4 linked regions of the Tamandua tetradactyla genome follow. The protein of the gene in region 1 purifies or fractionates together with the protein of each later gene. This does not show direct contact. Links are inferred from orthologs where the notes say so. Each region holds a gene or a part of one and is shown in the gene's direction. Other genes may lie near its edges.

Evidence for each region.
Region 2: the proteins of DCAF1 (region 1) and centrosomal protein of 78 kDa-like purify together in Homo sapiens (affinity purification with western blotting; 3 studies listed by BioGRID, with this or other methods). This does not show direct contact. The link is inferred for Tamandua tetradactyla from reciprocal best matches to the Homo sapiens genes DCAF1 and CEP78.
Region 3: the proteins of DCAF1 (region 1) and COPS7A purify together in Homo sapiens (affinity purification with mass spectrometry; 4 studies listed by BioGRID and IntAct, with this or other methods). This does not show direct contact. The link is inferred for Tamandua tetradactyla from reciprocal best matches to the Homo sapiens genes DCAF1 and COPS7A.
Region 4: the proteins of DCAF1 (region 1) and COPS4 purify together in Homo sapiens (affinity purification with mass spectrometry; 4 studies listed by BioGRID, with this or other methods). This does not show direct contact. The link is inferred for Tamandua tetradactyla from reciprocal best matches to the Homo sapiens genes DCAF1 and COPS4.

Annotation. Positions count from the first base shown.
Region 1 is NC_135341.1:34,577,542-34,585,307, forward strand, and holds the start of DCAF1 (DDB1- and CUL4-associated factor 1), read left to right. Parts: upstream 1-4,766; 5' UTR 4,767-4,873; intron 4,874-4,970; exon of another isoform or gene 4,971-5,021; intron 5,022-7,766. UniProt on the Homo sapiens protein: Acts both as a substrate recognition component of E3 ubiquitin-protein ligase complexes and as an atypical serine/threonine-protein kinase, playing key roles in various processes such as cell cycle, telomerase regulation and histone modification.
Region 2 is NC_135328.1:108,966,613-108,973,973, forward strand, and holds the start of centrosomal protein of 78 kDa-like, read left to right. Parts: upstream 1-4,354; 5' UTR 4,355-4,465; coding exon 4,466-4,718; intron 4,719-7,361. Other genes in the region: centrosomal protein of 78 kDa-like, read left to right, coding at 1,588-1,745. UniProt on the Homo sapiens protein: Centriole wall protein that localizes to mature centrioles and regulates centriole and cilia biogenesis. Involved in centrosome duplication: required for efficient PLK4 centrosomal localization and PLK4-induced overduplication of centrioles.
Region 3 is NC_135333.1:69,008,629-69,016,222, forward strand, and holds the start of COPS7A (COP9 signalosome complex subunit 7a), read left to right. Parts: upstream 1-4,576; 5' UTR 4,577-4,688; coding exon 4,689-4,714; exon of another isoform or gene 4,715-4,812; intron 4,813-4,824; exon of another isoform or gene 4,825-4,954; intron 4,955-5,204; coding exon 5,205-5,409; intron 5,410-6,894; coding exon 6,895-6,970; intron 6,971-7,203; coding exon 7,204-7,292; intron 7,293-7,594.
Region 4 is NC_135350.1:44,643,838-44,651,098, reverse strand, and holds the start of COPS4 (COP9 signalosome complex subunit 4), read left to right. Parts: upstream 1-4,253; 5' UTR 4,254-4,456; coding exon 4,457-4,530; intron 4,531-7,261. UniProt on the Homo sapiens protein: Component of the COP9 signalosome complex (CSN), a complex involved in various cellular and developmental processes.

The DNA of each region.
Region 1 (7,766 bases):
TCCCCCTTTTGGTCGAGAAGGTTTTCTCAATCACTTGATGCTGAGTCTCAGCTCATTCTAGGATTCCTGTTCCACCTTGCCAGGAAGGCCCACACCCCTGGAAGTCATGTCCCACGTAGACAGGGGGAGGGTGGTGAGATTGTTGTTGTGTTGGCTGGAGAGAGAGGCCACATCTGAGCAACAAAAGAGGCTCTCTTGGGGGTGACTCTTAGGCCTAAATTTTAAGTAGACTTGACCTATCCTTTGTGGGGTTAAGTTTCATATGAACAACCCCCAAGACTGGGAGTTCAGCCTAGCTTTGGTTGTCCACACTGCTTGTGAGAATATCAAGAACTCAACCTGGGGAAGTTGAATTTCTCCCTGTTCTCACCATTCCCTGAAGGGGGCTTGTTGCAAATACTTTCCCATTCACTGATCGAATCACTCTGGGATTCATCGGGGCATCACTCTGGACAAACCAACAAAATCTCATGTCCTACCTGAGATTCCAAGTACTTATGATGTTCAATCAAACTATCTACATAAGTTATATTAAGAAATGCACTAGTCAAAATATAAATTTTGTACCAAATAAACATTTTTTGCTTAAGTCTCACACATAAGGTGACATTTTAAAATATTAATAACCATCTATTTTCAGCACCCTGCAGTAATGACATTCCTTTGTTCTCCCTCATACAAAAACATTTTCAAAATTTGTACATTTAGTCACTATTATTATACACTCTAGGCATTCCTAGATTATACCATCTTGATCTTTAACATCTATTTTTCTTTCTGATTTCATTTATGCCCCCAGCCCTCCTCCCTCTATCATTCTCAACTGCAGCTTCATTCAGTGTTTTAACATAATTGTATTACAGTTAGGTAGTATTGTGTTGTCCATTTCTGAGTTTTTGTATTCAGTCCTGTTGCAGTCTGTATCCCTTCAGCTCCAATTACCCAATATCTTACCCTATTTCTATCTCCTGATGGTCTCTGTTACCAACGAAATATTCCAAGTTTATTCACTAATGTCAGTTCATATCAGTGAGACCATGTCCTTTTGTTTTTGGCTAGTCTCACTCAGCATAATGTTCTCAAGGTTCATCCATGTTGTTACATACTTCGTAACCTTATTCTGTCTTAAAGCTGCATAATATTCCATTGTATGTATATACCACAGTTTGTTTAGCCACTCGTCTGTTGATGGACATTTTGGCTGTTTCCATCTCTTTGCAATTGTAAATAATGCTGCTATAAATATTGGTGTGCAAATGTCCGTTTGTGTCTTTGCCCTTATGTCCTTTAAGTAGATACCTAGCAATGGTATTGCCGAGTCATATGGCAATTCTATATTCAGCTTTTTGAGGAACCGCCAAACTGCCTTCCACAGCGGTTGCACCATTTGACATTCCCACCAACAGTGAATAAGTGTGCCTCTTTCTCCACATCCTCTCTAACACTTGTCATTTTCTGTTTTGTTGATAATGGCCATTCTGGTGAATGTGAATGATATCTCACTGTGGTTTTAATTTGCATTTCTCTCATGGCCAGGGAAGTTGAGCATCTCTTCATGTGCCTTTTGGCCATTTGTATTTCCTCTTCTGAGAAGTGTCTGTTCAAGTCTTTTTCCCATTTTGTAATTGGATTGGCTGTCTTTTTGTTGTTAAGTTGAACAATCTCTTTATAAATTCTGGACACTAGACCTTTATCTGATATGTCATTTCCAAACATTGTCTCCCATTGTGTAAGCTGTCTTTTTACTTTCTTGATGAAGTTCTTTGATGCGCAAAAGTGTTTAATTTTGAGGAGTTCCCATTTCTTTCTTTCTTTCTTCATTGCTCTTGCTTTGGGTATAAGGTAAAATTAAAAACTTTTGTGCCTCAAAGGACTTTATCATGAAAGTAAAATGACAACCTACACAATGGGAAAAAATATTTGGAAATCACCTTTCTAATAAAGGGTTAATATCCAGAATATATAAATAGATTTTACAACTCAACAAGAAAAAAAAAACCAATTAAAAAATGGACATAAGACCCAAATAGATATTTCTTTAAAGAAGATATACAAGTGGCCAAAAAGGACATGAAAATGTGCTCAATATCATTAGCCATCAGGGAAATGTAAATCAAAAGCATAATGAGAGGAAGGGTCACGGTGGCTCAGCAGGCAGAGTTCTCGCCTGCCAGGCCAGAGACCTGGGTTTGATTCCCGGTGCCTGCCCATGTAAAAAGAAAAAGCACAATGAGATACCACTTCACACTCACTAATGGCTACCATGAACAGAATAGAAAATTACAAGCATTAGAGAGAATGTAGAGAAATAGGAACACTCCCTCATCGCTGGTGTGAATGTAAAATGGTGCGGCTGCTTTGGAAGACAGTTTGGCAGTTCCTCAAAAAGTTAAGCATAGAATTACCATATGACCCAGAAATCCCACTTCCAGGTATGTACCCCAAAGAATTGAAAGCAGAGACTTAGAGATATTTGCACACCAATGTTCAAAGTGAAATTATTCATGATTGCCCAAAAATGGAAGCAACCTAAGAATCCATCAGCCAGTGGATAAACCAAGTGTGGTGTATACCCAAAACAGAGTATTATTTAGCCATAAAAAGGGATGAATTTCTGATACATGTGACAACAGTGATGAACCCTGAAGACATTATGTTGAGTGAAATAAGCCAGAAGGACAAATACTGTATGATCTCAATGAAATGAAAGAATTAAAATAAGCAAAATCAGAGTCAGTATCCACAATATAGGTCACCAGAGAACAGGGTTGAGGTAGGGACTAGGGGGTTAAGGTTCAAAACGTACAGAGTTTCTATTTAGGACAATGGAAAAGTTTTAGAAATGGATGGTGGTGATGGTACTATAAATGTTGTGAATGTAATTAACAGCATCAAATTATATATTTAAATGTGACTAAAAGGGGAAATTTTAGTTTGCATATATGTTACTAGAATAGAAATAAAAAAAATAAAATAAAAAAACAACACAAACAGTGAGCCCAAAGTTAAATAATGGACAATAGTTAATAGTACAATTTGAAAAATGTGTAAGACAAAAATATCTCATGGGGGAAAAGATAGATTCTGTGGTAAAATAATACTAATGAAACTTGAAAACCACAGATCCAGTAAAACTCCCCTCCTCATAGTGGGTGGATGGGGAAACTTGTCCAGGGTCAATCTCTAGTCTTCCGCCTTTTAGGCCAGGTCTGCCCTGACAATGCTTCTGCCGGCCCATAGAACAGGCAGCAGGAAGGTCTCTGTGGAGGCATAGCTTGAACCAGCCACTCAATATGACCAAGAGCCTCTAGCTGCAAACTGAGGTCTTTTTGGCCTGGGATCTCATGGGGAAAAGCCACTGTCAACAGAATAAACGATCCAAAGACCCCAGACCTGCAGACTTTGAGAGCAGTGGGACACACCTCAGATCAACTTCCAGAAGTCCTCAAGATCCCAGACTGTTCTTACCTTTAGAAAAATTTGGGGCCCTGGCCTGGGAAGTGTGGATCCTGGGTTCCAGCTACCTGACCACTTCATGGGACAGCAGCCTTCTCTTTAAGGGAGACAGCTAGGCATAGCCACTCACTCCCTAGACTGTGGTTCCCTTGAGGGCAGAGCTTGTGAATTCCTTGGTGTAGTGTCCTCGTGGGCACAGAGTCCAGTGGGCACAGGGTCAGGCACAGAGCAGGAATGCTAGAATCCTTAACTTGAAACACAATTTTCCTCATTTATTTTTTTCTTTCTTTCTTTTGTATGCTATATGGCAGGGTCATATTTCATTCTTTTTCCATGTGAGTATCCTATTATTGCAGCACCATTTTGTTGAATTTTTGTTTGTTTGTTTTTGTTGGTTTCCTAGCTTGTTTGGGAATTACATGGGATGGGAATCAAACCTGGGTCTCCTGGATGGCAGGCAAGAATTCTACCACTGAACTACCCTTGCACCCCCCCCCCCCCATTTATTTTTAAAATAAGGCTTCCAACAAGTGGCTCTTTCTATCCCTCCTCTACCCCCCTAAACTGTGATCATCCACAGTGGCAACCGACGTTCTACACTTGATGGTGTGAAGCTTTCTCCTCCCTCCTTTTTACCCCTAGATTGGCTCTGGGAGGAGGGAATCTCTACACTCTGGGAAGAGTGGGTGCTTGGCACTCCCAGTTTCTTCTTTTGACATTCTTCTCCCTTTGGGTGGCCCAGCCTCAAGGTCATCAAGTCTACTTGTCAATGCAGCAGAATTTGATAGCATGCGCTTGCCCTGGACACCAAGTGGAATATTCAGGTGGTTGATCATGGATAGATGACAGTAAGGGCATGATCTAGTCCTTGCCTCAGAGTCTTAATCCCTTTGCTGTGAAACACTTAGAACATCAGTGATGAGGACACTTATCTTTACTTAGTCAGGGTAGGGGTCCTATTCCCACTCTCCCACCCCCCCACCCCCCCCGCCAGATGACAAGGGACAGGCAAGACATCAAGAACCAAAGCTGTAGGCCCCATTTGTTCTCACCTCCTGGCAGTGACTGAGACCTGAGAAACTCTTCTCATCTCCAGGTCCCTGAAAGTTCCTCCTCTTCTTCCACTCCCTACAGCGTGGGGTTAGAGAGATCCAGTGAGCTCTTCCAGACCTTACATCCATCTCCAAAGTCCAAAGGCAGCTCCTGAACCCTTCCCTTGCCTACTGGTCCCTGGTTGTCCTGGTCCCTGGTCCTGTGGGGAGGGGGCTGGGTTGTGACTTCATAAAAGGCTGTCTTTGTGACAAGTCTGAGTCTGATGAAGTAGGAGCTTGACAAACGGCTGTCCCCTGGAAACATCATGGGAATTTCATAGAGAGACACCCCTACCTCTGAGGGAATGTAGAGGAATTGCCCCATGGTAAGACCCCAGGATATCTTTCCATACCTAGAGATATCTCTTCTTAATGACTTGGGATCCCAAGCCTAACTGGGTATTCTTGGTTATATCTGGCAACACCTCTCAGGGATCCTAGCATGTGGCAGTCAGGCTTGAGGAGGAGCAGAAGGTGGGTTACTCCAGGTGATGGTAGAGGGCCTTGGACTTCCTAATTGAGTCATTCCCATGTTTGTCCATTAGACAAAGCCATTCTTCTGTAGATACTTTAGAAGTAAAGTAACTGATAGAGTAGGAGGCTTTATCTGACCTGTGTCTCCACCAGGGTCTGCCCTAGCGATCTCTAGAGTACCTCTGAATGGGTCAGGCCACATCTCCCTGAATCTTCTACAAAGGACTCAACAGCTACAAAAATAGATATCGCCAAAAAAACAGGGGCTTCTGGTATGTTGGAGGCAAGGCCGAGATACCAGAATCTTTCCTAAGGCTGACTCCACCTTCATTTCCTCCCAAAAGGATTTATAATCTCTTGAACCTGGGGATTATAAATTACCCTGGGCAAAAGAAGGTAGGGGTACACTGGCATGAGGAAATTCAGGATACCTCTGACTGTTGCTTCCTCCTTAAGTGCCCTGCAACCACTCCTTAACTTCCAAGCCATTCCTGGTACGTGCCCTCTGCGAAGGGTAGGGCCTCAGGAAGAGCAGAAATGATAGGCTATCATCTTGGTAGTTAGGCTGGGGGATCCGACCTGCCCTGGGAGTATCTGGAGCCCAGAGTTTGGCCCTCTTCCTGCGTCAGCCCCTGCTTTGTGCTGGGCAGGCCCATTGGAAGGACCTGGTATATCATCTTCACCACCCACTCCAGCTTCCTGCTTTGGCCTCTATTTTGACTGTAATATCACCATCTTACCAGAGATCCCAAGAGAAGTAGGGGAGTGCACTCTGGGCAAAGGTTCCAGATGCAGACTTCATCCCAGCAGAGGGGCATAAGTGATGAGCTGGTGGGGGATGGTGACATGTCTGACTTCACATCCAAGGGATTTTTTCACCTTGACTGCCCTTTACCCTCAATCAACTGTAGTCCTTGCAGGCATGAGGAAGCCAGAAGTAGAGCTTCCAACCTTTACCCTTTGATGAACTCATTTTCATTTCTCTCCTGGAATGGAGAGTGGCCAGGTGACCCTCAAGAATGGATATTCCACTACTTTCCAGTGCTCCTAAAAAGGTGCCTTGGGATTATTTCTTATAAGGAACATGTTCCTCATTTTAATATAGAGAGCCTGAGTTCTTCCAACAGGCAACCTTGAGGGCAAAGAGAAATCAGCCAGGGCTAAGGTTGACCTGGGGAACTCCAACTGGGACAGGTACAGACTGATGATAATCAAAATCAGAATAGCCATTACTTATCCAGCACTTACTGTGCACCAGGCCCCACGCTTAGCACTTTACATGCATTATCATATTTAACCCTTACAATATCATTGGAAAGAAGGTATTATTTCCATTTTCCAGCCAGGGAAACTGAAGTGCAAGTGAGATGAAGCAACTGAGCTGAGGTTCCACAACTGATAAATGGGGGTGACAGAATTGGGACTCAAATTTGTTTGCCTCCAAAGCTGTACTCAACTGCTGAACTTTCTCCTAGTACAAACCCTCCTCACTAAAGAAGAAAAGAAACTACTCTATTTTCTCATTCCTGACCATTAATGATAGGGTTAAAGAGAGAAGGGTGAAAGGAAGGAATTTGAGTCTGCTATCTCCCAGATCATTGGCTTTAGGATAAGCCATCCTTGGATCCTTGGACCTGTCTAATCTTGAATGAGATCCACCAGAGGTGGCTGTTCTGATATGCTTCTTACAATTTTGCAGATAATTAAAGTAAGGCCCTGGGGGCCATGGGAGGGAAATACTTGGGGGTCTGTGGTTGTGCAATGGCTCTGGGGTATGGTTGCTAGATAAAATACAGGATGTCCAGTTTGTTGGATTTTAGGTAAACAATAATTTAAAAAACACAAATATGTCATAAATATTGTATGGTGTCCTCTGGGGGCTCCTTGCTCTGGCTGGGGCCCATATGTTGGATCTGGGGAGGGAAGAGGAGTTGCTTATTCATTTCCCACTTGAGTCTCAGGTACCTCTATGAAGTAGTACCTGTGGGGGCAGGATGTGAGGACTGACTCCTGGAGACTGCAGCTGCTATGGCCACTGGACAGGGTGGGAGCTTAAATTTTTGCCTTAGTGAAGCCTCAGTTTCTCTCTCTGTAAAATGAGAGTGGTGGATGTGGGATTCAGATGAAAGGTTGCTTTGCATTTCTCTTGGAGAATGTGGTAGGGACAGGACACCAGCTGAAGGACAGGGATTTCTCTGGCCAGGCTGAGGTTCCCAGAGGCTGACAACCCCGAGCCTCTTCTTAGTGACTCCTGTAATATTCCTAGGTAACCCAGCAGTCTTGTCCAGCTAACAGGAGAACAGGAATGGTTGTGAGATAGCCTGCCTCACCTCCCAGTCCCAGATAATTGTGGGAGGAATCACATGGTTATGGGGGCAGTACCAGGGTGGGGATGGGCTGGTGGGAGTACCTAATCGGTTGAGCTAGAAAGTATTGGGAGAGAAGGGGTGGGTGATGGGGGGGGGGGGGTGATGGAGGAAATATTCAGGGCCCAGAGGATTTGGCAATTTTCCTGCTCCAAGGAGTTTGCATGATTAGGGGCAGGGGCAGCGGGAGGGTGTCTGAGTCTGTGGCCCTTGGTGCTTGGGACCAGGGCTGGGCCACTCTTGTACTTTCTCTGTTGCTCAGCAGATCCTTGACCTTTCAGCTTCTTTCTCAGGTTGGGGTGGGAGGTGGAATGTGGTAATGGGGTAATGGGGAGGCAGGGCAGGGCAGAGTCTAGAGTAGTTCTATCAAAGAGACCAA
Region 2 (7,361 bases), on another chromosome or scaffold:
GTAGTAAACTTCCATAAACTAAGGGAAATTACCCAGGGTCCTGATGAAAACCTGGCCACTTTTCTACACCAGCTCGCAGAAGCCCTCTCCCAATATACCCGCCTAGACCCCGACTCAGAGGCTGGTAAAACTGTTTTAGCCACATACTTTATATCCCAATTGGCTCCAGATATAAGGTGTAAACTTAAAAAAATTGAGGACGGTCCTCAGGCCCCTATCTGTGACCTGGTAAACACTGCCTTTAAAATTTTTAATACTCATGATGAACTAGAGAGGGCAGAAAAGGAATCCCGGGACCGCCAAAAGGCAACTTTACAAACCCAATCCCTGATTGCGGCTCTGCGGTTCACTTCAACAGAGACGAAACTGGGTACGACTAATCCACCACCAGGAAAGTGCTTCAAATGTGGCCTTGACGGACACTGGTCCTACCAGTGCCCCAGTCCTCGACCGCCCAAGGGACCATGCCCTCTCTGTGGTACAAAGGGACATTGGAAAAGTGACTGCCCCTTGGCGCCTGGCCGTGGAGCGGCCATCCTTCCAACCCCTAACCTACTGCTAGCAGTCCTGGGCCTGGCCATTGACGACTGACAACGCCCGGCCTCAGAGACCTCAATCACCCTCATTGAGCCCAGCGTAACAATCAAGGTAGCGGTTAAGTCCACCTCCTTTTTAGTGGACACAGGGGCTATCTTTTCTGTCCTCCCCTCTTACTCAGGTCAACTCCTTCCTTCCCAGGTCACAGTTATGGGCATAGACGGCCATCCTTCACGCCCCTTAAGTACTGGGCCTCTTACATGTTTAATAGAAGGGTACCCCATTACACATTCTTTCTTAGTAATGCCTTCTTGCCCCGGCCCGCTAATGGGGCAAGATCTTCTTGCCAAATTAAGAACCTCACTACACTGGATAAAAAACCCTCAAACAAAACTTCATAGCAAGTGCCAGACTAACGTCACTATCCACAGCACCCATGCCCCCAAAGGACAATATTTCTGGTGTAATGGAACTCTTACCAAGTGCCTTAATTCCACTGCCCCAGGACCATGCTTCCTGGTTACTATTGTTCCTCAATTGACCCTCTATGGGGAGTCCGAACTAACCTGGCTACTGCCCTCTCCTCGCTCATAAAGGGCTGCCTTCCTTCCCATCATGGGAGGCATCAACCTAATTGCCTCAGTTGCAGCCTCAACCACACTGGGAGGGGCACTGGGACATGGTATTTTAACCTTTCAAATCTTCGAAACTTGACTACAGGTAGCCCTGGAATTGACATCAGAATCCCTCTCCTCTTTACATTACCAACTTATCTCACTAGCACAGGTAACTCTTCAAAATTGACGGCCCTTAGATCTGCTGACATCTGAAAAAAGGAATGTGTATATTCCTCCAAGAGGAATGCTGTTATTACGTCAATGAGTCAGGTCTGGTGGAACAAAATATTCAAACCCTAAACAAACTAAGAGACGATCTCTACCACAGAAAACGAGGAACCAACTCTGCTTTAAGCTGGTTTTCTTCTCCTCTGACGACATGGCTCCTCCCGCTACTAGGACCAGTTATCCTAATCTGTCTCTTTTCTCCTAGCTCCCTGCCTCCTCAACTTCCTTCAGGGATGCATGAAGGAACTATCCTGGATAGCAGTCAACCAGATGCTCCTGCATCATTATCATCACCTGCCCTCCTCACCAGATTCCTACAGCCAGCCTCCCCACTCCCCTAGTCATGATGGTTCCGGCCTATAACCCCACGCTGCCCCATTACAGCAGGAAGTAGCCAGAAAGATCTCAGCGCCCTATTATCACAAAAAGGCTGGAATGTTAGGTCGGGGAAACGGGGAAGGGCACTGCAACTGGAGCTGTGGAGGCTGTGTCGCCAGCCTGACTTCCGGAACTAATGAACTGCCCCTTCCAGACGTCACCTGACCTCCATCCTTAAAAGCTGCCTGTGCCAAAGCCCGCATGTGCACTCACCTCCCTCCATCTTGGCTTTGATGAGTTCTGCCTGGAGCACAGAAATACCCCCTACACACACTTTAAATTTCCTGGTGTACCTTTCTTCTTTCTCACCCTTTCGCCTCCTAAACCTTTCAGTTCACTCTGTCACATTAATTTATACATTTGTGGAGATATTAAGGCAAAGTAGGGAAATGGAAAAATAAATCAAGGGAAAGATCAGAACACACACACACACACAAAAGTGAAATTAAAACTAAGTTAGTTTTGTGCAGCACTTCTATAAGAATGAAATATATATGCATGTGTAAGCTACAGAATAAAAATTGCATAATTTTGGAGATTTCTCATACAAGTGAGAAGTTCTTAGGTTTGCATTTAATAATGTCATTGCACAACATAAAGGTGAACGGGAAAATTCAGGCTAATGTAAAATTTTAATTTTTCATTTCTTTGAAATTCAGTCAATAGTAGATAAAAAAACATAATGACAAATAAAGGAACTTCAAAAGAAAGAAAAAAGTTCTACCTTTAACCCCATTATTTTCTGCATTTTGAACAAGAGGCCACACATTTCCATTTTCTGATGGGCCCCGTAAATTATGGAGCTGTGCCTGGATATTTCTTAACATAAATTTAGAATCTTGCACGTTGGAAAGGTTTGAGAAAGTCAATTATCTTATTGTCCAATAAGCACTGATTTTTAAAGAAAATTTTAAGAAATTATACAGGTGACTTAGAGGAAGCAGACTTTGAGAGGAGGAGCGGTTCTGAGAAAATCCAGGGAACTTGTAATGGAAGGAGACCATTAAAAGGATGCAACTTGAAATAAAGCACCCTGAAGTCAGTGAAATTAGGTTGAATCTCAGGTGAGCTGTAGAGACGACAAAAAGTATACCTCTGCATTGCACAAGGGTTAAATTGTCAGAGCTTTTACACCCCTGTCTTCTGTTACTAGTTAAACTAGTTACTAGCCATTTCTGATAGCCTGAGAGCAGCCTAGCAAAGAAGACTCAGGGGCTGGCTGCTGGGATTGAAGCACATTAGGAGCCAGGAAGCACAAATATTAATGCATACTTTTAAAACTAAACATCAGAAATTTAGAGTACAAACACTGCAAGTCTTCACTACCATTCCATCCTACTCCCCTCAATAGTGGTAACTAATGATAATAATGCACTGTTCATTCTTCCAGGTCATTTTCTGTGTACTTAACATTCAGTCCACAAATATTTATTAGTGCCCACTATGTATCAGTTAGATGCTGCAGGTAAGTAAGACAGTCTCTTCTCTCATGTATCTTACATTCTCATGAGTATATATGCATACATAATATTTGTCTCTATTCTGTAAGGCCTATTTCATTTTACAATGTATCATGGATATCTTCCTATATCAATATATGCAAATTTGTCAAATATTTTTTTATCCCTCACCCAGTTTTCCCTATTATTAACACCTTACATTTCTTGCAACTGACAAACCAGTATCGATGCATTTTCATTAACTAAAGTACATATTTCATTTAGATTTCCAAAGTTTGTATCTAGTGTCTTTTCTGATCCAGGATCCCATCCATGATGCCACATAACATTGAGTTGTTGTTTCCTTAGACACTTCTTGCCTGTGACAATTACTCAAATTTTCCTTGGGCTTGACTACCCTGCAAGTTGTGAAGAGGACTAACAGGTATATTGTAGAATGACTCGTTATTGCAGTGTCTGCTGTTTTTCTCATTAATTTAGACAGGGATTATTGGTAATCAATAATTACAGTATTCACAATAATGTCCGCAATTCAGAGAACACTTTTTAATTCGGCAGCAACGGTGGAAGTTAGCTAGAAACAGAATAATTTGCAGGAATTAACTCGGACAAAGTTTAAAAAACTTTTTTTTAAAAAGACATTTAATGGACAACAGTGAACACTGAAGCAATCGTTCATATATCCCTTATTTATTGATTGTACTCTGTCCAAGAGCTGCAAACACAAGAATACAATTTTCGAAGTTTAGACTAAAGACACCACAGTTACGTTCATATCTCACTTCTATCCTGATATGTTAGCGCTTTTTGCAAACCCCAGATTCATACAACCACCTCCCTTCTTTGTCTTGCGCGCCCTGGCGCCTTCTCCCGGCCCGCCCATTAAAAGGGGGCGTGGCCTGCGTGCGGACGCAATGGCGAGCGTGCTGACGTCTGCTTGCGCTGACCGCCGCTGGCTTCTCCCGCCGGCTGGAACCGTATCCGCGCGAGGTAGACGATGAGGCGGGTGCCAACGGCCTCGGCAGCGAGGCGGGAGGTGGCGCGGGAGCGCGGCATCGAGGGGCCATTCTAGCCTGGACCCAGGGCCTGCGTCTTCGGGCCCAGCAGCCCTCCTGAGAAAGGCGTCGCGCCGCAGCTGCCGAGCCGAGGACACCCGAGGGTGGCGGACGGCGAGCCCGGAACTCCTCGGTGGGTGCGGGCGTTGTCTCCGCGGCGGGTCTTCCTCAGGACCCCGCTCCTCTCGCCATGATCGACTCGGTGAAGCTGCGCCGCGACAGCACGGCCGACTTCTTCTCGCACTACGAGTACCTGTGCGCGCTGCAGGACTCGGTGCCGCTGCCCGCCGTGCGCGCCTGCCTCCAGGAGGGCGTGCTGGACTTCAACGCCGACCGCCTCCGCGTGGTGGACTGGGCGCCCCTCCTGAGCTCCCTCAAGGTTAATAAAGATCTGCCCTTGGTCTCTATAAAGAGCTACTTCCAACCGTGGCTTGGGGAAACAGGTTTGTAGCTCCCGCTGCCAGTGCCCCTGGTGTCGGTGCGGCGTGCCTCCCTCTGGACTAGCCGCGAAACGGGTGGGAGCTGTGGGTGTCGAGCGCGGGGCGTGTGTGCAGTAGACGGTTCTGCAGCCTAGAACCCTTTCCAGCTGGGGGACCCTGGCGATCTAGATGTCCGAGCCTCCGTTTTCTCCTCTAACGTGGCTGGGTGACAGAACTCAGGGATTCACCAACTGAGTTCATGCTTGTACAGCATGTTGCACAGAATTTGGAACATCAGTAAGCCTTGGACAAATACTAACCTATTTTGCTGATGACCTTGCCTCACAAAGAACAAAGCGGTTTAGAAAATGATACGTTCCAGCTTCTTTCTTGATTTTTTTTCTATTAAGCCATTTATGTTAAAAAAATTTTTTGTTTTTATTAGTAGCGTGAAATAGAAGGAGCACAGGTGTTGGAGACAGGCTATTTTGAATTCGAGGATTTATATTCTATATGACCTTGACGAGTTATGTACTCTTTGAACTACAATTCCTGCATTCGTAAAATGGCATGAAAAACAGCTCTTTCCATGGAGGGTTTTAAGATTAAAGATTGTATGAAGCATTCTGGCACTAGAATGGGCTCACCAAGCACTGCACTGGAGATACAACCCCTGACCTAAAAGAATCTCTCCTTCACTTGGGGGAGGCAGCAGGTAAACACAGTTCTTGGTCAGTGCTGTGTAGAGTGAGCCCCAGAAATTGGAGGAGGGAGGTGCTATCTGATCTATTTTTGAAGACTGTGTAGAAGGTAGTCTGATGGCAAGAGAGAGCAACTTCTGTAAAAGTCTTGGGAATATGAGACAATATGGCAAAAGTGAGGAACTGAACTAGAACTTAAAGTTTGAGACGAGCCAAAATTTGAATGTTAAAATCCGAAGCAAGGGACATTGTTTGCCCTGTCATGGATTTAGAATTTTTCCTTGATATCTATGAGGAATCCCTGAGGCATTAAGTTGATGGAGTGATGAGATTGGCCTCAGATTCAGGACCTCACTCCATTCTCCTGTGGAGGGCAGTGTATTGAAAGCAAATTGAATCCTGGCATCTAGAGGTTCTAATTATAAAGTATGGGGTTGGCCAGAAGGATTGTATTTCAGAAATCAAAGAGAATGGATAGATCCTGATGACCAGTTAGAAGAGAGAGGTCATTAAGAGACACGAGGCAGAAGAATTCCCAGGTGACCTGCTTAGGTGATAGTTCAGAGCAGCACCTTTCACCGAGATACAGGCCACAACAAAAATGGATTGGGGATGGGAGAGGATCTTAGTTCACCAGTCTGAGGAGCGTGCATACATGCCTGTTAGGAAACCTGTAGCTTGAAGGGGGTCTTGGCCTAAGATACAGATTTGGGTTTTATGAAAGTCAAGTGTTTGAAGGTTTGGGAATGACTAAGGCTACCTACAAAGAAGGTCCTGAAAATTGTAGATGTGAAGTGTATGGGCTTGAGTACATTTATAAGCTGAGAAGAAGGAGTTGGCCAAGAGGAACGGTATGAAGATCTAGAACAGAAAAATATTGTTAATTTATTCAACAAGCACTGAACACCTGCCATGTTCTTGGCCCTCATGTAGGCTCTGGGGTAGTGCCATGTATTATCTCAACATCAAGGACAGTTAAGCACATTCTCTGCTCAAGAGAAGTCAGATTATGCACTGCATCTCATTCTGGTGTAGGAACTGTTCTTTACCTCTGAAAGGACTTCACCAAAGTAATAACTTAGAAATAAAAAAAAATTTAAAGTTGGAAGGACCTTTGCAACAATTTCTGTCACCTTTTATTTTCAGAGGTAGCAGATGCATAGATTTCAGTGACTTGCTCACAATCACACTGCAGAGTTTAAAATTATTAGTCATGCTAGTGTTTGTAATCTTGTCTAATATTTTAAGTTTACATTGAATGTAAGAAAAATGCATTACAGGGACCATTACTCTTCAAATTTCCTTAACTGAATCTTGTCTCCCACATGCACTGCATGTGGGATGTAGATTTTCACCTCCTGTATATCATTTGTTCATCCTTAAGTAGGTTTTGCCTGGACTATTGTAAAAGCTTCTGACTCATTTAGCTATCCCAAGCTGTTTCTCATAGTTCATCTGCCTACCTCAGCCGGAGTGATCTTTCTAAAATAAAAGCCTAGTGTACTCAAAATGATTTGTCCTTATAAGGACCATTGTGTATTGATGGTGTAGTGTGTGCTCTGCACTCAGGGATGCAGATGGGAGCTAAAATCTAAGTTGTGTGGTCAAGCTTTGTGGGGCCTCTCTGCTGAGGAAGAGGTGCCTTTTCTAATTGATCTGTCTGAAGTAGGTGCCTTTTTCTACTTGTTCTTTGTTTGAATTGGTCTGGCACCTTTTTCGAACAGGCCAGTGGCACTCCTGAACCTTGTCACTTGTTAGATAAAAGCCAGCCTCCCTCTAGCTTTGGCCTACCTCTTAACATAATTCCGGCTGTTTCCTAACTCACAACTGTGGCTTTAGCCATACCCAGCTGCACTATTTACAGTGCCTGGGTGCATGTGACAGGCCTGGGTTCCTTGGCATGCACTGATCTCTTGTTAAAGCAGCCTCCTCTCCTACTCCACATAGTCATCCTCATCTTTCCAGA
Region 3 (7,594 bases), on another chromosome or scaffold:
CGAGAGCCTTGTGTAAGATGGTACAGCCCCGGCCAGCCCTGGACAGTTTAATTTCCATTGGTTCTTGGCTCTTCACAGTTAAGTAGTTTTAATTCCTTCAAAGACACACGATTTCCATCTTTCTTACAGTGTTGCTCCTACACGAGTGAATTCCTTGGAGTCCAGCTGTTGCATGCGTGACCAAAGGTACTCTATATTGGCTCCAAACAGATAGAAGTGAAGAAATGTGGATATGAGGCCTATTAGCAGAGCTTCTTTCTCTGATTTTAAGCCTAGGCTTCTTTTTTCAATATTGTTCTCTCAATCTTGGTTGACTAATGCAACTGTCAACACATTGATTTCATTTGAATCCTCATGGCTATGGCCATTGGTCTTGACCAATTCCTTGGTGCCTTTTAATTGTTCCTGGAGAACTTTGAGTAACACCTGCTTGTGGGACTGCTCTTCTGCTTGTTTCAATTCTGATTTTTGTTATTTAGCTTCTCCTGGATGGTCAGCAGTTGCTGTTGAATGCCCTGTATGGTTTGCTGCACAAACTGCAGCTGTGGGTCCTTGGTGAGGTTCTCTTCTGCTCAGAACAGTTGCTCTTTTTCTTGTTTCTGCAATTCCACCTCGTTCCTTGATTTGCTGACATTTTACTGAAGATTTTGGTATCTCCATTAATGAGTGAGATTGGTCTGTAATTTTCTTTCTAGTGGTGTTCCTTCCTGGTTTTGTTATCAAAGTAATTCTGGCTGAAAAAGAGCTGAGGAGTGTTTTTTTCTTTTCCTATTATCTGGAAAAGTTAAAATTAAAATGAGCTGCACTTAGAAAGTTGGTGCAGCTTGCTTGTATAGTGTCATCCTTGACTTTTCTTTTCCTTTGTCATTTCACACCTAATCCATATACAAATTCTGTTCACTCTATCTTCAAATTAAATCCAGAATCCAATCACTTCTCTCCACCTCTACTGCTACCACCTTGGTTCAGGCCACCAACATCTATCTCTTGCCTGGATCACTGCAATAGCCTCCTAAGTGCTCTCATTGCTTCTATGTATCCATCATAATATATTAAACACGTGGGTCAGATCATGTCACTTCTCTGCTCAAATCCTCTACTGCATGCCCATTTCACTTGGAGTAAGAGCCATAGTCTTTCTAATGGCCTAAAAGGCCTGACATAGTCTGGTTACCCTGTTACACCTTTACACCCTGTTAATCTTTCTGTCCTCATCCCTGCTTCTCTCTCTTTTTTAATTTTTATTAATAAAACCAATCAACATACAACACGAACATCCTTAATGTATGAGCATTCCATACTTGCTGTGCACTCAGTGGCTCACAAAATCATCACACAGTTGTATACTCATCACTATGATCATTTCTCAGAACATTTATGTCACTCCAGAAAAAGAAAAAAGAAAAAAACTCATGCATGCCATACCCCTCACCCCTCCCTCTCATCGACTACCAGTATTTCCCTCCACTCAAATTCATTTCAACATTTGTTCCCCCCATTATTTATTTATTTTTAATCCATTTTTTTTTACTCATCTGTCCATACTGTAGATAAAAGGAGCATCAGAACAAGGCTTTCACAATCACACAGTCAACTTTGCAAAAGCTATATCATTATACAATCATCTTAAAGAAACATGGCTACTGGAACACAGCTCTACAGTTTCAGGCACTTCCCTCTAGCCTCTCTAATATACCTTAGACTAAAAAGGGGTTATCTATATAATGCGTAAGAATTACCTACAGGATAACCTCTCGACTCTATTTGAAATCTCTCAGCCACTGACTCTTTATTTTTGCTTCATTTCTCTTTTCCCCCTTTCAGTCGAGGTTTTCTCAATCCCTTGACACCGAGTCCCAGCTCATGCTAGGATTTCTGTTCCATACTGCCAGGGAGATTTACACCCCTGGGAGTCATGTCCCACATAGAGATGGGAAGGGCAGTGAGTTTGTTTGCTGTGTTGGCTGAGAGATGGGCCACATCTGAGCAACAAAAGAGGTTCTCTGGGGGTGACTCTTAGGCCTAATTTTAAGTAGGCTTAGTTATCCTCTGCAAGGATAACCTACTTCTCTCTCTTAACTCATTCAGTTCCAGACCACCTTGCTGTTCCTCAAACTCTTCGAGCATGTTCCCACCAATCTACAAGTCCAAAGGGCCTTTGGACTTGTAGATTGTGTTGTCTGGAATACCTTCCCACAGAAATCCATATGACTTGCTCCCTTAAAGATTTCACGTTTCTGCTCCAGTATTACCTTATCAGGTATATTTATATAAATTAGCAAACTTCTGCATCCCTTACCCCCTTAGCTTGATTTTGTTTTTCTTTTATATATTTATTTACTTATGGGCCTGAGTCCAGCCACAAGAATGTAAATACCAAGAAGGCATGGATTTTCTCTGTGTCTTCAGTAGGTAGAACAATGCCTGAAAACAACAGGTACTCAATATATACCTTTTGAATCAACAATGAATATTTTATTATGTCTGACCAGTTGCATGCCCGTCAACTTTTCTAGTTTTATTTCTGCACATCTTACTCTCTATCATTACCATTAAGAACACAGTACCTGGTCCATTGCCTTGTACATAACCATTGCTTAGTAAAAAAAAAAACATGTGAATGAATGTACATTCTGAGCTTCACATGTTTACTTAGCTCCCATCCTCCCTTTGGAGAACTTTTTCTTCCCATTGTTCCCTCTTTCCCCACTTCTATTCCTTTCTCTTTTCTATTTCAACCTTACTCATCCTCTTTTCTCTGTTCTTTCTAACCCGACTTCTTTAGTCTTCTTCCCTCCTTTTTTTTCTCTGAAGTCTCCTCTTTCCCTACTCAACCAATTATTCTCTCGTTTTTTTCCACTCACTCCTCTTTCTCTCACAGAAATATGAAACATCTGAATCAGAATTGGCTTTGAGATTCCATCATCTAATCTCTCACTTTGCAGAAACAGAAGAGATACCACAAGATGGCATGATTTGCTTTAAGGAAACAGCTAGTTTTCTTTCCTCCCTTTCTTAGAACAGGCTAGAATCAGATAAACTTATGTTTGGATTGATCTTAGCTCCACCAATCCTGGTGACCTTCAACAAATTACTTAACTTCCGTGATCCTCAGTGTCCTCACAGATTAAATGAGATATTAATATGCACCTCAAAGAGTCACTGTAAAGACTGAGGAGAAAATTGAACAAATAAAGCACCTGGCACATAATAGAACAAATGTTCGTTCTTTTCTCATTCTTTCTTCTTATATATTTTTTTGTTTCCCTCTTTAAAATAATTAAGATTGGTTTCTTTGTACTTTGAATATTTTACTATGCCTTGACCTTCCCCTCACTATTATGTTTCATCTCTTCCATTCTCCTCCTTGTGCATTCCTCCCTTCCCCTCTGCTGTTTCTCCTTCCCCTACGCCTGGTTCTCATTCTTCTATCATGAACTAAAGGGTGTAAACCATAAACACTGAGCTTGAAGTCCTTTCAGCTCTAACAGTCTACTAGCCCTATGTCTTTCTCTTAATTTCTTTTTTTTTCTTCCCCTTAGTCTTCTTTCCATTACTTACAAGTTCATTAAGTTCTCTGGGCCTCAGTTTTTCCATCTGGAAAATGGAGATAATCACTAGATTGTTGTAAAGATCAAGTGAGTTACGTAAAGGTCTCAGCCCAGTGCTTGGCACAAAAGCCTCCAACAGGCCGCTAATTTTCTTCTCATTTGACCTTCTGCAGACCTAAAATGAAACATAAAACACTATAGAAATATTAGGGTTTTTTTTTTTTCCTTCTCTCTCTCTAAAGTAACAGGTGACAGAAAAGACAGCTTTGGGTTTGAAAAGATCTGGGTTCCAGTCAAACCCATGAGTTCTGATGAGCTCAATTTCCTTATCTGTAAAATCAGAATAATAAAACATATGCCTTCCTCCAACCTAGGGCTTTTTCCTCCCCCGGAAATAATAATAGTAATAATAAGAGGTCAATTTATAGACAGCATCACTCCACAAGTACATGCTGCAGTCGCGGTAGAGGGCGTCCTGGCATTAGATTGGGGAGGCAGAACAGTTTTAAGGATTCACTGGGATAAAAATGTTTTAAACACCTGACCAACAGTAAGCACTCAATATATGTTAGCTATTCTTCTTTTCTCCTGATTCTCAAAAAATGAGTGGTTGAACTATCTAGGTTACCTCTGTCGCTAATGTTCTATTATTATTACTCCTTCCTCTATCCTTTTCGTTCCGCCTCCCCCATTTTTTTTTCCTCCTTCTCCCTCTTTCCTGCCATTACAACTGCCGTCTCGCGTCCAGCATCCGGGGAAGCCTGGGTCTCTAGGTCTCGGGCTGTTTACAACTCACACAAAGCCAACTCGGACGCGCCTGGGGCCAATAGTTCCGTCTGCGATTAGCGTCAGACGCTCTCCCACCAATAAAGTTTTATTGAATCAGAGCAGAAAAAAAAGACACCCGTCAGTCTTTCTCCAGCAGCCAATCAAAGAGTAGGATTCCTGCGTCCCTCACGCGAGCTTCAGTAGTGAGGAGGCTGGGACCGAGTTTGTCTCGCCAGATACCCGCGTCCTTAGAGCGGAAGTACGGCCGGAAGAAGGCCATAGAGTTTAGCAGCTAGAGCGACCCTGGAGGGAGGTGGCAGGAAAGGCGCAGAACAGCTGCCGGAGGTGACGGTGCGGCGGCCCCGCCCGATGCACTTGGAAGACGGAGCTTCCAGGTAGTGACCCGCAGAGTGTGACCTAGGGTACGACCGGGCAGTCGGCGGAAGCCTACGGTCTCTGAGCGGCCTCTTTAAGGGAGGGGGCGGAGCCACGTGTAAGGAGTGTGGGGGAGAGGTCACATGATCGGGGGCACGTGCGGGGCACGAGGGGAAGACTGAGGGAGTTCGTCGTCGTTGGGGTGGGCATCATGTGACACCCCTTCCCCCACTGTATCCTGTGTCTTGGGGCTCAGTGGGGTGCGTGTGGTGGCGCTTGGGGTTAGACCCAGGGGGTCGGGAAAGAGGGTGGACCTGGCATCCCTGTCTCAGCCATGCTGTGGTCAGATTGGGCGGTTTTTGGATTTCTAGATCCGAGTTCTAGACCAGTTAATCTCTGATTTCACATTGTAGTGGTGACTCAGTGCCTCAGATATCCAGCTCCTCCCCCTTTTGCTTCCCATCCTGCCATCGTTCACGGATGCCAGCTTCACATCCTCTTTCCTTGCAGCTCCGGACATCCTGAACCCAGATACCCCCAGCACAGTGCGGCCATGAGTGCAGAGGTGAAGGTGACAGGGCAGAACCAGGAGCAATTTTTACTCCTGGCCAAGTCAGCCAAGGGGGCAGCACTGGCCACACTGATCCACCAGGTGCTGGAGGCCCCTGGTGTCTACGTGTTTGGGGAACTGCTGGATATGCCCAATGTTAGAGAGGTGGGTTTTTGGCCTGAAAAGTCCACAGGGAAGCTTGGGGCTAAGTTTCAATTTGAGATGGAAGGACAAGGGTTCATTTTGCAACCCTAAAACCATTCAATTGAATAAGAATACTGTGACTAACTGGCACAAAAGAAAATAAGCAAGTGAACTTCTTAGTTTCCTTTGAAGATGAAGGCTCTGTAAAACCTGGTCATTATTTCTAAGTTCTCTCTGCTGTTTCCAGAAGCTTTCCACAAGTCTTTGGGGGAGGGGTCACTTTCTACCTTATCTGCTTTAAATAAATTAGCATATGGCACAAAGGAAGGAGGACAGGGCCTGCTAGTTTAACAAGTTCATTCCTTCCATTTACACTTATCCATAATCCCACTGGGTTCCTACAATAACAATATCATAACCATTTTCAAAAGAGAAAACTGAGCCCCTAAAATGAAGCTGACCTGATCAAAATGACATGATGATTAAGAGCTATTACGCTTGAGAAGATAGGCTGGAACACAGGTTTCCTGTTCCAAATGAAATACTTAGAAATAAAAATGTCTAAATATAAAAATTTCTTAGTCTTTGGGCATTACTCTGTGGTACAGGGAAAATTGTGGTTGCTTTCCTTTGTAGTAGAACAAAAGAGAATCAGTGTGAAGAAAAATAAGCATTATTAGGTGCCTATTTAAGAGAGACAACTCTGCTGGTAGTCTGGAAACACCAGAAAAGTATGAGACATGGTACTTACCCATTTGAAGCTTACATTCCAGTTGAAGATATAAGATGAATGAATATAAACCTATAAATCATTCAGTTAACAACTATTTGCTGAGAGAGCTATCTACATGCCTACCTTTGCTAGATCCCGAGTGAGAAACCACATCCATAGACTTGTTGAAAAGAAAGGTATTCTTTAGGTAACAACCTTAGGCAGAGATTGATTAAGTTCCAGGATGGGTGATCACTGTTAGGAGAAGGTAGAGATCTGGGTGAGTTGGCCTGGGTGATGCAAACTTCTGGCTGAGGTGGGTCTGAAGCACAGGCAACAAACTCAAGTGTCTGCCTTGGCCATATAGCCATTGGATGAGTGTGGTGGAGGCATGAGTCTGTGGTCAGTTGGGGAGTACAGCAGACTGTCTAAAGATACTCATATTCAGAAATATTAAACATAGTCTGAAGACCTATCAGTATAGTTTGTAATGTCTGATTTGTGTTTCTATCAGAGCACTTTGTGATTTTTTTTTTTGGTGGGGGGGGTGAGGGTTTATGGATGAGAAGACATTGTAAATTGGGGGAATAGCATAAACAAAGGCCTGGAGATAGAAATGAGTTCTCCCTGTGGGGACAGTGGTCAGAGAGGCAGAGAATTTCTGTTGGTAAGCTGGGTGAAGTCACGTTGCAGGAGAAAGATGGGGCCAAGGAATAGAGGTCAAAACAGGGCAAGGGTGGGAGGGAGCAGAGGGAAGCCCTCCCTGTCACCTCTTTTCCCTCATATTCTTGCAGCTGGCTGAGAGCGACTTTGCATCCACTTTCCGGCTACTCACAGTGTTTGCTTATGGGACATACGCTGACTACCTAGGTAACCGGTGGGGTTGAAACTTTGAAGGAGTGGAGTTGGGAGAAGGAAACTTTCCAGAGGGACTTAATTGAGAGAAATTCCTGGGATACCTTAGTTGGATCCCCTAAGTGCGCAGGGTCAGAGTCAAGACCTGGATTGGCATGGAAGACAAAAAAGAGAAAAATCGGGTAGGGGGTTAGGGCTTCCCACAAAACTAAAGTCAAGATTTTCTGCGCTTTGTCCTTTTTCCCTAGCTGAAGCCCGGAATCTTCCCCCACTCACAGAAGCTCAGAAGAATAAGCTTCGGCACCTATCAGTTGTCACCCTGGCTGCCAAAGTCAAGGTGAGTGGCAGTCCCCCCCAGTTGTAAGTCAGAAGTCTGTTCACAAGGGACCATCTTCAAGGATTTTGTACTGAGATAGCCTTTGAGCCAGCTGTCACTTCTTTGTGCCCCTTGCCTCCCAGAGGTCTGTATCTAATGCCATTACCTGCAACCTTTTAGGCTGAGTGTTATTCTCTTAGTTTTTGTTTTATTTTAATTTTCAATCAACTTAAATTCTGCATAAAACATCTTTTGTATTGGTAGAGTGGGTGCAGAGGCCCACACAGGCAAAAAAAGAAAGAGAGAAAGAAAACATCTTTTGT
Region 4 (7,261 bases), on another chromosome or scaffold:
CTAAAATTGACACTAAAACCTGCTCCTATGGGGAGACAGCATGTGTGGTTCTATAAGCTGATACTTGCTCTTTAGCAGCAGATATCCTAGCTCTATAGGAGAAAATTCTGTAGTAATTTTACTTATGGTAAAAGACCTTCCCATTCAGATACTCACTAAATGTTTATGTTTGTACCTCTGGGCTTCTTTTCCTGCTTCAAGTTCATCTAATATCTTCCTTAATTAAGCTATGGCCATGGAGACATTCCACAACCAGAGTGACTGTTAAGTATGCAGATATGTGTCAGTTTCAAGTAACATTGGCCTCCTGTATAATATTCTCCACTGTCTTAAATTAACTGGAATAATTAAATAATAATTATTAATCACCGATGTCCCTCAAAGTGGCAACTACCTAATTCTAATTATTCTTTCTCTGTTTAACATGTTATTTCTATTTTTAGAGACCATCTAGACAAGATCTGCCCATCTGTGACATCTATTTAGGACAGTTTCACCTGCATATTTGCTAAATATGGCATCCTAAGCACAAAAACTCCTTAGTGTATTAACAAAATTGATATTTGCCTATCTTATTGCTGTTTATATTGTAGTTGTGACCTCATTTCTCAATATCACAGACTGTATACCTGTACCCTCCCATTCCCATGCTCAGGGATTTATGAGGAAAAGGTGTGGAAAGATTGTAAGAGTAGTGGTATGGAGTGAGTTGTAACATAGTAATACTTTTCCACTTTCCCTAATCTTCTCTTTATGCTTATGCTCCTGCTCCTCTTAAGCCCAGTAATCCTTCCATAGCTCACCGACTTCATGTCTGAATGACTAAGAACAACGAAACTGTTTTGTTTGTTTGTTTGTTTCATCTGTATCCTAAGTCTGCCAAGGCCTTAATCAACAAGATAATCCCCCTTGGTCTTTGGGAAGTCCTGAGAGTACTTTGACCAAAAGAAGGGAATGTGATGTTAGAACAGTAAATACCTTTACTAATCAGCTTAATTTTCTTTCTTTTTTTAAGAAATATTTTTATTAATAAATCAACATACAAACATACAAACATTCTTAACATACAAACATTCCATACATGTTATACAATCAATGGCTCACAATATCATCACATAGTTGTGTATTCATTGCCATGATCATTTTTTGAACAGTTACATCATTCCAGAGAAAGAAATAAAAAAGGAAAAAGAAGAAACTCACACATACCATACCCCTCACCACTCCCTCTCATTGACCACTAGTATTTCCATCTGCCCAATTTATTTTAACCTTTGTTCCCCCTATTATATGTTTATTTTTTATCCATATTTTATACTCATCGGTCCATACCCTATTAAAAGGAGCAACAGACATAAGGTTTTCACAATCACACAGTCACATTATGAAAGCTGTATCATTCTACAATAATCTTCAAGAAACAAGGCTATTAGAACACAACTCTACAGTTCAGGTGCTTCCCTCCAGCCCACTCCAACACACCATAAACTAAAAAGGGGATATCTGTATAATGTGTAAGGATAACCTAATTATAACCTCTTCACTCTGTTAGAAATCTCCCAGCCACTGACACTTTATTGTCTCATTTCTCTCTTCCCCCTTTTGGTCAAGAAGTTTTCTCAATCCCTTGATGCCAGGTCTCGGGTCATACTGGGATTTCTGTCTTACGTTGTCAGGGAGGTTTACACCCATGGGAGTTATGTCCCACGTAGAGGGGAGGGCAGTGAGTTCACATGCCATGTCGGCTTAGAGAGAGAGTCCATATCTGAGCAACAAAAGAGGTTCTCTGAGGGTGAGTCTTAGGCCTAATTTTAAGTAGGCTTAACCTATCTTTCACAAGAACAAGTTTCACAGGGCAATCCCCAAGATCGAGGGCTTGGCATATTGATTTGGTTGTCCCCACTGCTTGCTAGAATAACAGAAATTCTCCAAATGGGGAAGCTGAATATTGCCCCTTTTCTCCCTATTCCCCCCAAGGGGACTTTGCAAATACTTTTTTATTCACTGTCCGTATTTCTCTGGTATTTATTGGGGCAGCACACTAATCTGGACAAACCAACAAAATCTCATGCCCTATTCAAGATTCCATGTACTTATGGTGTTAACTAAACTGACCATACAAGTTAAATTAGGAAATGCACTAACCAAAATATAAATTTTGCACCAAATAAATATCTCTCCTTTTAGTCTCACATAGAAGTTGAATTTAAAACATGGAATCATCTTAATTTTCTTAAACTTCCATTTTTACTCAAGAAACTACAAAGAAGAAACAAAAAGTAACTGGGGCAGGCTAACATATCAACAATCCTTTGTGGTGCTAATTAAGACCTCTGCCTACATGGGAAAGAAGGAACTGTGACAAACAAGTCATGCTGAAAGTAGTAAGTCAGCTACTCATTACCAGATAACCCTATTCCTACACAAACATTTTGCCTGGGCAGCTTTTGCAGATTTATGGAACCCAAATACGACCTGCCCGAAGTGACTCACGGAGCTCACATCCTCCTTGCCTTCCTGTCCCATTCTCCCATACTTTCTTTGTTCTAAGCAGGAATATAAACTGTTTCCCCGCCACTTTTCTTTGAATAGTAAATTTCTTTTAGTTCTGTTCTCACGTGTATCACTTAGATCAATAAATGTATTCTACATCTTGGTTTTCAGAGTCTGCTTTTAACTTAATGATAGACAAGGCCGTAAGAAATTGCAGTCCTATATATTGTTGGTAGGAGGTTATTATTATGGTTAAATAATACCATTTGGCACTATCTATCAAAACTGTAACCACATCTGTCCTTCAATTGTCATGTGGGAATATATTCTGCCTATACACATATAAAATGATACATATATCTAGCTATGCAGTAGATGCCATAAAACTATAGCATAACTTCACTAGTAATACTCTCCAGCTCTATGAATGACCCTCTCCATAGTTACATATTAAAATCTCCAGGAAAAGTTAAAAGAAAAAAAAAGCAAGAACAGGGCAATGATACCGTGTGCTACTTTTTTTTTGTATCTTTAAAAGTTTTTTTTAAGAGGGTGGGCTACATTTTGTGAAAGCAAGAAGGAGGAAACTTTACATTTATTTGTTTGAATTTGCAAAAAAAAGACACTATGAGGATAAATGAGTAATTAATTTAATTACATGATGGTAGGATGTGTTGAGGAAATAACTAAAAACAAAATCTTCTCCCAACCCAGAAAACTTCTCCACAAAGGTAGAAGAGAAAGAAAAACAATTTTATTATTGAATAAGCATGAAACCAGAATGTGATGCATCACAGATAATCCGCAAAGATATTGCAAAGAAAGAAATTCCACTGTTTTATATAGCCAAACAGATACAACATGTTTTCAAGATAAACAGTCTGCAAATAAAAGGACTTGACTGTATCATTTGCCACACATAGTTCATCTTAAATTCACCTGGTGATTGGGGGTGGTCTTTGTGTTTGCCAGTTGCCTCTATTAAAAAATAAAATGTCTTTTATCTCTATGAGAGGTATAGATAGTTAACAATTTGGAGCCAGATGCCTAAGTTAAACTACTATGGAGATAGGGACTTGGGTGAGAACTTCCTTGATGCTAACATTTCAGAAAGAAACCTCCTAGGTCCTGGAGAAAAATATTCCTGGATTGTAAGGCAGGCAAAAGACTACGTAGTTTTTAAGAAGATTTAAATACATCTCAAAGGGGCAGAGAAAGGATTTACAATGTCAGGTTTTCTAAAATATGTTGTAAGAAAAGTGAATTGGGGGGGAGTCTTTTTCCCTTTTTGCACTTGGGAATTTTTTTTCCTTTTTTGATTAGAATTTATGCTTACGGATGGCTGTATAATTTTTCGTCCAATAGAACAGTTTCTACAGTGAAAGGGGTACGTTATTAATAATTATTTCAGGACAAAAGATGTAAATGTCACTATCCTGGAGAAACTGGGATGTATGATCAACTTACATAAAGATTACAGACTGGTAGGGGAAATGGGGACAATTTTTATTGTATTTTACAGAAGTATTAGCCTGTAATGAATTGGAAATAAACACAACTCATTCTTTACTACAGGTAATTTTAACAGTGCTGCCTTAAAGGAGGAGGAGCAGTAAACCACAGACAGGAGCCACGGAACTTAGTGAAAACGCGACTGTTTTGAGCACCCGGCACTTGCTGGAGTTGCACAAGTGACGCACTTGGAGCTGATCAGCCAATCTGAAGTCAGACACCCTGTGAGAGCGACTTGAGCTGGCCTCTGACGTGAGTTGGGGAGTTCGCGTCACTCGGCCCTGGGGGAGGAGCTAGGTCAGGTTCTACACCCATTCTTTTTCGGCGCTCTGGCCAACACAGACGCCACTCTGTGGCATCTCGGGCTCCCTCTGACTGCGCTCTGGAGGACCACCTCGTTTTCTTTTTGGCGGCGAAAGGTTCTCCCAGCCCCGGCTGAGCGGGAAGGAAGATGGCGGCAGCCGTGCGGCAAGATTTGGCCCAGCTAATGAATTCGAGCGGCTCTCATAAAGATCTGGCGGGCAAGTGAGTGTTTCCCAGGTGCACGGGAGTAGAGAGGTGGGGAGGGAAGCCACGGGACAAGTTCTCCATGGACTGTCGGCGACTATCGCGTATGAGCGAAAAGCGAGGCCCACGACCAAGGGGGGCGGACCTGAGGTCGATGGGAGAAGCAAATGTTGGGAGCAGTAGAAAGCTGGAGGGGACCTTGTGGAGGGGCGCTTGGGGCCGTAGACCTGGAATGACAACTTGTTCAGCCCTCGATAGCATCTTTACTGGCGTCTTGGGATCCTGGAATCGCGGCCTGCGAGACAGGCCTCGGCCTCCTCCGGTGCTTTTTCCCCGTCGCTACTCGGCTTCAAGCCGACTTCTGGCCTCTCTGAGACTTTTTTTTTTAGGGACATTTGTATTCCGAGGCTCCAGTGCAGAGTTTTCCCGGGAGACAGCTTCTCAGAGCTGGCAGGCTGAGGAGGTATGGCCGCTATCATGTGTTTAGAACCACTTGGACCATCTCCTGTGGGTCCTTATCTTTTTGTTACTCTCACTAAGCCGCCGAATCAGAAGAAGGGGGCATATATTTTTGGCATAAGGCGGAATGCTCTTATAATGTGAATCAGGATGTCTAGATTGGTAATTTCCAGAATCTGGATTGCTCAGTAATTTTATTAGAATTTATGTAAAGGCTTAGGTCCACTTCAAATTAAATATTTTGACATTATGCCTGTCCCTCATCGACCTGCAGCCAGATATTTAGCAATGTTAAATATGCATACATAAATGTATGTAAGTATAAAAATACATATATAAAAGTGTACATGAATCATATACCGTTTTCGTTTTGTAGATTTCTCAGCCCTCCTTTCCCATACTAAACAAGCATTCTGTTAAAAATATGCCTTTCAAGTTGACCCAATGTTTATATCCTGACAGTGTAGACCACACCGATTTATGTTAATGGGATACACCTGCCTTTACCTGGCCATTGAATTTTTGACCCTTATTTTCTTTTTTTTAAGGTACTCTGTGCTACCTTTTCTGTGGTGGCAAATATTATCTTTTTTTTTTTTTTTGCATGGGCAGGCTCTGGGAATTGAACCCTGATTTCTGGTATGGCAGGCCAGAATTCTGCCCCTGAGCCACCGTTGCACCGCCCAAATATAATCTGCTTTTATCATTGTGAAATTTAGCTGTGTATCTTGGGCTTAATTATTTTGTGAGACAATACCCCAATCAGGAAAATGGGAATAATTATAGGACTTATACGTAGAGTTGTTTGAGGATAAAGTCAATGTGTGTTTGAGGACAAAATGAAATGTGTGTGTGTGTGTGTGTGTTGTGTACACTCGTATCACATAGAACAGTACCTGGTGCTATAAGGTTGCTGTTGGCAGTAAGTAAATACATACTGACTCATTTCATGGGTGAAAATAAGTTAACTCTGTTTCCATGGTTCAATCCTTTATTGCATGTAATTTTGATAGATTTGGATGGAAGTAAAACGAGCTTTTATTTTTCTCCATGCTTGCTTTGCTTTTTAGTTTCTTGAAGAAAATAAATGTATTAGTTATCAAAAGGGACACTGCTTTTCAAGTATTTGCGGAATTCAGAAGCTTTAGCTAAGCATTTACTTCTTCAGCTTTGAAATGGAAATAAATACTACTACCTATCTCAGAGATGCTAAGGTATCTATTGTTTAACACTTCAAAAACTTAGTGGTGTAAAAGCAGCTAGTATTTCTCAGGATTCTTTGAGTTAATAGGGCTATTTTGCTGGTTTCATTTGAGTTCACTAAGGTAGGTGAAATCAGCTGGAGGTACAGGATCTAAATGGATTCTTCCCACTGGAAGTATTCCTAAGGAGAATTGGTGGGTATAATAAAGGACATGAAGATTTTAAAGGCTTAGTGTCTGTTGCCGTATATTGTATGTCTTGTTTATGAGACTACTTGTCTCATAACACGTTAGCCGATGTCAAGTATTATTTAAAAGAAACGAACAATGAAAGAAAATGTTGCTAATTTGGCAGGCAATATAAATTTAAAAAAAGATATCTAATTATTGAATAAATGATTCTTTTTAAAATCAAGTTAGTCTCTCCTAGTAGTATAAGATCTTAAGAGTTTCCTGAGAAACTAGAACTTTGTTTAAACACTGAAGTATGAAAATTAAAAACAGGTTCCTTTAGTTACTAGTTTCTACTGGTTTTGCTAATAGCACAATGAACTGAAATCCAGTTTATTGTGTTATTAGCAAACTTGTGGAGAATTTAACTAGCTTTTTAGAGGTAGAGATAACTGAAAATAGGTAATTTACTTTGGTGAAGCATAAAGAATTAAAGTACTTAGATGGTGGATAACAATTTGCATATTTAATAAAATTCTTAAGTTTTAACTTTAAATTTAGATTTGAAAGATTAGGACAATACAGACATAAGAAAACAGAATGATTTTCTTATAATGTATGTGGAAGTTCCTGATAATTTCCTGTAGTTAACTTCACTACTTCTGAATAGTCTCCTAAAATATTTCAAAGAACTTTAGAAGAAGAGAGTCTGAGAGGGAGCATTTGGGTAGATAGTTCTTGTGATAATCTGTCTTACCTGGCTAAAACCTACTTGGTTCTTCAAAAATCAGTTCAGATGTTAACTTTTTCTAGACAGACTTCTCTAAACAACCACCAATGAATGCACAGACCCCACCCCCAGACAGGACTTACTTAGCTGCTCTTCTCATGCACAGTGGCATCTGATATTTACCACT